Caenorhabditis elegans: one gene and its partner. The protein of the gene in region 1 purifies or fractionates together with the protein of each later gene. This does not show direct contact. Each region holds a gene or a part of one and is shown on either strand. Other genes may lie near its edges.

Region 1 (3,297 bases):
ATTTGATTTGCGACAACCCAGAAAAAAACAAAAATTTACCACTGACGTTTTGAAGTCGTTACTTCCTATATTTCAGTGCCAAGTGTCAATTGTTCTACAATCAAACCTATCCAATGCACTGATCCAGCATGGAAGGCAATTATAGCTATGGAATGTCCAGCTACGTGTGGATTGTGCAGTGCAGATTCATGTGTCGATGCAATTGAAGGATGTGCCAACAACATAGAAATCTGTAATGCAGTCAAATTGCAAGACTTTGTCAATGCCAATTGCAGAAAGACGTGTAAAAGATGTACGTCGGGTCCCACTGCGACAACATCTACCGCGGCTCCGGCGGCACCTACAACTACCGTGGCTCCCGCTGTTGTTACAACTACTGCGGCCCCCGCTGCCGTGACCACTACTGCTGCAGTTACCACTACTACCGTCGCAGCAGCAGCAGCCACAACCACAGCAGCCGCCTGCACTTCCTACATTCCCGACGGCCGAACAAGATGCGGCGAGTATGCTCGAAGTGGATTCTGTACAAGCAACCAATACACCACGGCAGAAAAAAGAGCTGCCTGTGCGACTACTTGCAAAATCTGTTAACTTTTTCCATGTTGCACAGTTTTATTAAATAAAATTTATTCTCACAATCAGTTTTCCCCAAATAAAATAAATTGGAAATAACAAAGTTTATTTAAGTGACCAAACAATTACCAGTCACTCGCTGGACGAGTCTCAATCCATTTCTTGATCTGAGGAATTGACTGAACTTTTTCGGAATGTGCCTTCATCTCTGGGACATCATTGAAAAGATCCGACTTTTCACGTCCCAGCAAATCAGCTGAATGCTGAGCAACAAGCAAATCAATAAAAGTCAAGGAATTTCCAACCAAGAATCCTGACCCGCTGGCCTTCAAAGCATTGACAAAGAATCCATAGTGTTTCTTGAAAACTGGAAGATAGACGCTTGTGTAAAGAGCCTCCGCGTCTCCTTCTGTGTAACCAAGCTTCACAGCGAGGTATGGACGAGCCTCCGCGTAATAGTCTTTGTACTGGTCGGCCAAGGAGTTGACTTGAGCTTCTTCCCATCTGCTCTTTCCGTTGAACCCGAATTCCCGAGCAAGATAACGAGCCATCGCGTGGGACTGAGCGAGTGGTTTGCCATCTACCTCGAGCATTGGAAGCTGGTTGTATGGGGTTTCTGGAAACCACACAATTAATATTTTGCACATAATATTAAGAAGAAAAGGAAACTCACTTCCGGCCGCTTTGAACTTCTCCCACTCCTCATCGGTAAGTCTGTTATCTTCATATTTCTGCTCGGCGGCAGCAAAGATTTGACGGCAGAGCTCTCCGGCTCCGCGTCCATCGAAGTAGGTAAGCTTGTAGGAAACCATGGTGAATATTAGGAAGAGTTGTGACAGAAAATAAACCGTTGAGAATCTGAATTGAATTTTCCCTTTTATATTAATACGCCAAGTTTATTGTCATCAAATGTTTTCTCGTTAAATCAGCATATTGCGAAATTTCAGGCGTGTTTGTGAGTGTGTGTGTGTGTGTGTGTGTGTGTGTGTGTGTGCAAAGAATCAAAGACTAGAGTGGCGTATTAAAACTGATAATGGCATTTAAAATTATCATCAAAATTCGAAATTCTTTGCAGTGTTTCAAACAAATTTTCCAGTTGAAACTTCATTCACACGTGTTGGTCAGACACAGATAAAGTACAGTTCCTAAAAAATCGTCGTTGATGATATGGTCGTCAGCCCGTTGTGTTATGTCTTGAAGAGAATGAGACTAGCAGATTCTGCAAGTGGAGGCGCAGTATGATCTTCTTTGCGCGAGGGTGTAGAAGGTGTTGGTGCAGAATCCGTTCAGAGACCAGGCTCTGCATGCAGTGCTCGAGTCGGCGATGTATGAGGAGCAGGTCAAGGAAGATGAAGAAAGAGTAGTTGTTGACGAGGCACATCTATTGCAAGTTCTCTGACAGTTGGCGTTCACGAAAGTCTGAAGGCCGATGGCATTGCAAATGGTGATGTCATTGGAGCAGTCAGGAACGGCATCCACACATCCTCCTTGGTTGCAGAATCCGCAGGCAGATGGGCAGTCCGTGGCTATGATTGTTCTCCAGGCTGGGGAGATGCATTGAGAGGCGGTGATCGAGGCACAGTTGAGACGGGGGTCTGAAGATTACGCGATACAGTAAAATATGGGCCGCTCATGTCTCCTCAGCATTATAAGCCAAATTTCTATTACATGACACTTAATCACTACAGAGGTTCAAAAGAATGGGTAGCATCTAGGCTCAACTGTCGTTTGAAGTTGTTTAACATTATTTACTAGAGCGGTCAGATCTGGTTTAGAGGAATATCAGTTCCTTGAGCGCCATGCTGTTGGAGCTTTCACTGGGCTGATATTCCAGATTGATCCACATCTCAATTGAGCATGGGTGAACCTATAAGGGGAGAATGGACTTGAACTTCTGATTTTATGACTGCTATCGGCCACCACGACATACTGAACTATTTCCACACCAATCTTGATGTTTCTAGGCGAATATTTGCGCCAGAAAAATACCTCAATTTGTTAGAATGTCTTTTCAACTCACAGGCAACATTTGGGCAACTGTAAGCACTAGTTTGACAACATAATCCGCAAGTTCTTGGGCATGTGCTCTGAGCTGCAGTCTTCATGTCTTGAACTACAGCAGCTGGAGTAGCCGTAGCAGTAGTATAACAAGCCAATGGTCTCTGCTGGTCCCTGCCTGGTGATGGGTATCCATCAGCTGGAACTGGGTTTGGGTACAAAACTGCGCAGGATGAATCGGAGATCACATTGCTGCATGCAGTGGCGGCTGTAGTCCAGACAAACTGAAAATCATGGAATACAATTAACACTAAAGTAAGAGATCAGCGTAACTTACAGCAGTTCCATTGTAGGTTGTGCAGTTAAGATCTCCTCCGATAACAGCGCTAGCCTGTGGAGCCAGGAATGCAAGAATGAACGAAACCAGAGCAATCATTGTTCTACAGGCTTAGTTGAGCTTCTCCGAGTGACTAAGACGAGAGCCGAAAAGTAAAGCTTCTGTGATTTGGCTTCTTATTTTATAGTAATCCGGGTAGCTTTGCACAACTGCTTCTATTAAATTCCTTTTATACAATGTAGCCATTTTTGTTGAACCTATTTGAACAGATTAACCGATCATAAATCTGTTTCAAAATTTCAAAAAGAGCTGGTACAATTTCAGAGGCCTGGATATTCTGCAACTTCCTAAGCCAGGATCATGCACCATTTCACTTCCCTCCAACGATT
Region 2 (3,757 bases), on another chromosome or scaffold:
GATGAAGAAAGTGAAGCGTCTGCAATCGGAGAACGAAAAGTTGAAGGTGCAGCTGGATGATATGGTGGATTGTTTTGTGGAAACGAAGGAGGCTCTTGAGAAGGAAAAACGTGTGACGGACTTCCTGAAAAAGGCGATTTCCGATCTCAAAACTCTTCCGATTGAATGTGAGATTTGTGCAGTACAATATGGGGATTCTGGAATGACCGTGCCTCGTGTTCTGCGTAAGTCTGCCAATGCAACTCATAAAATAATGATATTATTCTTATCATATTCAGCGTGTGGCCACACAATTTGCACCGAATGCGCTGGAAATATTATCCAAAACAAGATGATCCGTTGTCCATTCGATAGAAAAGTGTACAAGTTCAATAACAAGACGATCGAGAATCTGCCCAAGAATTTTTCTCTCATAAATCAGTAGAAATTCGAATAAATGATTTGAAAAATACTGTGTAGATTGATTCTGATTCTGAGATTCTTAAGGTCTTCGCGCAAAACTACAGTAACCGGTATCACAATAATTTCAAGTTCAGCCTGCGTAAAAACATGCGTGACAATTAAATTAGTACAGTAATCACGGGGTTCTGGCCTTTATCATTGAATTTTCGCGCTCCATTGACAATCGCCTGCCGGACAACGTGTGGAAAAGTGCCGTGTACTCCACACGGGCAAATACATCAATTTTACAACTAAAAACGAGCCGCGACGCGACACGCAACGCGCCGTAAATCTACATAAAATCTCTTCGACCCAAAATGGCCTAGTTCGGCAAACTCTGCCATTTCGATTTATGAGGGAAGCCAGAATTCCGTGATAATAATTTACCATATTGTTTCAAATTTTTTCTATTACGGGAACACAAAATTCTGAGAATGCGCATTGCGCAACATATCTCTTAGCGAAAACTACAGTAATTCTTTAAATGACTACTGCTGCCATTGTGTCGATTTACGGACTTGATTTTCGAAATGAATTTCTTTAAGACATCGATATTCCATTCTCATCTGTTTCCTCGTAATATTTGCTAGTTTTTTCTCAAATTTATTATTCAATCGATAAATAAATAATTTAAATTCATTTTGTAAAAAGAGCTCGTAAATCGACACAAGCCCTACAGTAGTCATGTCATTTACACGTGGTGTGAGAGTGTCCCATTTCGGTTTGATCTACGTAGATCTCGAAAATTTCGAGAATTTAGATGCAGACTTCTCAACTAGTGGTTAAGAACGTGCTGACGTCACATTTTTTGGGGTAAAAAATTCCCACTTTTCTTGTAGATCAAACAGTTATGAGACAGCCTGACACCACGTGCATTTGAAGAATTACTGTAGTTTTCGTTATGAGATATTTTGCGCGTCAAATATGTTGTACAATACGCATTCTCGGAATTTTGTGTTCCAGTAATATACTCAAGCATTTAGTATTAAAAAGTGCTGGAGAAATCGGTTGCTGCACTTCTTAAAGGCGCACACTGTTTTGCTCGGTCTCTACCTCTAATGCATCAAATTTCACGCGCAAATTCAAAAACTTGCCTCAGTGTGCTCTCCAAACTGCTTCATCATTTCTCCAGACAAACAATTATTCTTTTCCGGGCGGTCCAGAATTACGTCAAGTCTTGTTTTCAGCTTCTCGTTTCGCTGAACTCGAATCGCACCGCCTTGCCATGATTTAAAGACTTCCAGCAGTGCTGCGGATGGTCTAACCTGAAAAAATTCAATTCTAAAGGCACATAGTCGTGAATCACGCAATATTCAAATTTCGAAGAACATACCACTTTTCCAGACATTTTTGTCGCTCAGTTGCCCTGAAAAATTAGAAAAATCTTTTTATTTTTAGGTTATAAGCGGTTAGTGAGAAGAATAAGAATATATTTTCCCTATTTTTGAGTCACAAGTCGAAGCCCCGCCACCAAACGCAGGGTCTCATTAGGTATTGGCGGAAAAACAAGAAATTCAATAGTTTTCTTGACAGTTTTAGAATCCAAAAAACCGGTGCAAAATTTCATTTTCCTACAATTTTTGTACAAAAAACCGTACAACAAAGACCCCGCCCCTAAAATAGGCGGGGCTATGAACCATTTTGTGGGCGTGTCTGGCGGTAGATTTTACAACAAAAAAGTATGACGTGAATCGAGGAATCTACGAATATTTATTGCATCAATTGAAAAATCAATCTATCATCGCTTCTTGGCAATAGAGATAAAGTTGCAAAATTTCAAAATCTAAAAAAAGGAAGGATGGAAAATAATTTAATTTATTGCTATGAAACACGAGCGCTTAAAATGGGAGAGCCGGGGGGGGGAGGGGGAGTCAATAAATAAATATATAAAATTCAAATAATTAAATAGGACACAGAAGCGTGCGTTTTGCAAAATAAATTTTTGGGTGGAAAGAATGAAACAAAAAATGCCGCTAGAGACTGGAAGACGCAGAGATAGAGATAGGGGGAAAACATCACTGATCTGACGAAAATTTGGCCGAATCTGAAGAATTTTGGGGGGTACATTGTATCTAGAGAGCATGAAAAATTATGACAATTCGACCGAAGAAAAAGGCAATTTACTGGAATATATATTCTAATCAAGGGTGACGTCGAAAAATTCTGATTTTTCGGTATTTTGGGGTAATTGAAAAATCGAGAAAAAAAATCGATTTTTCCGAATTTTTCAATGCAAAAAAACGACACATTTGATTGCAATATACTTTGACTATTCAAAAATTTTGAAAAAAAAAGGTTAAAAAGGAATACTAAGTGATTTCAAATTGGAGTGGCACCTGGATTTCGCTATTTGATTAGTTTTGCACAATCTACTGGAAATTCTAAAATTGGAGAATCTTGGGGGATATCAAGAAATAGAAATAGGCTATCATTTTGTTTTTACATTAAAAAAAAATAAATCAGGGAATGTTACGAGAGAGATAGAGAGAAATAGACGACTAGACTATAATCCAAATGGATCGGCTGAGGCGGCCTGGGCCTGTTGAGCTTGTGCAGCGTTCTTTGCAGCCATCGCTGCATGAACCAATTGAATTTGGTGTTGCTGTTGTGGTGGAACAGGTTGTCCGTATCCATATTGTTGACCGTATGCTGCTGCAAAAAAAATAAGATTTTGAAAATCTACCGAAATATAGTGCCAGACACGCCCACAAAATGGTTGAATTCCTATTCTAGGCGTGGGGCTTTTTTGTTTTTGTTTGGTATTATTTAGACCAAAAAATAAACCAAAAACTGCTCACTTTCTCGCGGTTTTTTAATAAATTTAAGTATAAATTTTTTTTGTTGGTTTTTTGGCCCGAAATCCAACCCAAAAATGTTTTGCTATTTTTTGTCCAAAATTATTTTTCCGCTTATCCAAAAATTGCTGGAATATGAAATGTTCCACCGATTTTTCGATTTTAAATAAAACTGAATTTTTTCCAGAGGTTTAAATTTTATATTTTAGTATAAAATAGGTGTATGAGCATATTTCGAAAATGAAGCAAAAATTAACAAAAAATGCTTCAAAATCGATTTTCACATTTAAAATAATCTTGAAATATTGTGAAAAATTAGATAAAAATTCAATTGTTCCGAGATTCTAATTTTAAAAAAATTCCTCGTTTTTTCGATAAACTAACCCATCGCAGGATTCCACATTGGCTGAGCACCAAATGGTTGTTGATACATTCCCATTGGAGCCGTATACATTGGCTGAGGAGCCGACGTTGCTCCAAACGGATTGTTTGAGACGGCAGAAGTTGTGGTATTCCAGCCG

What was found. Proteins that work in one complex are often made in the same cells at the same time.
Region 2: the proteins of gst-38 (region 1) and C32E8.9 fractionate together in Caenorhabditis elegans (co-fractionation; one large-scale study listed by BioGRID). This does not show direct contact.

Annotation. Positions count from the first base shown.
Region 1 is NC_003283.11:15,914,552-15,917,848, forward strand, and holds gst-38 (glutathione transferase), read right to left. Parts: upstream 1,520-3,297; 5' UTR 1,386-1,519; coding exon 1,247-1,385; intron 1,190-1,246; coding exon 699-1,189; 3' UTR 611-698; downstream 1-610. Other genes in the region: F35E8.7 (ShKT domain-containing protein), read left to right, coding at 77-591; F35E8.9 (ShKT domain-containing protein), read right to left, coding at 1,783-2,168, 2,594-2,855, 2,909-3,007.
Region 2 is NC_003279.8:3,796,261-3,800,017, forward strand, and holds the start of C32E8.9 (Ethylmalonyl-CoA decarboxylase), read right to left. Parts: upstream 1,809-3,757; 5' UTR 1,790-1,808; coding exon 1,775-1,789; intron 1,707-1,774; coding exon 1,536-1,706; intron 455-1,535; exon of another isoform or gene 425-454; coding exon of another isoform or gene 279-424; intron 225-278; coding exon of another isoform or gene 1-224. Other genes in the region: C32E8.1 (RING-type domain-containing protein), read left to right, coding at 1-224, 279-424; Phosphatidylinositol-binding clathrin assembly protein unc-11, read right to left, coding at 2,945-3,093, 3,621-3,757.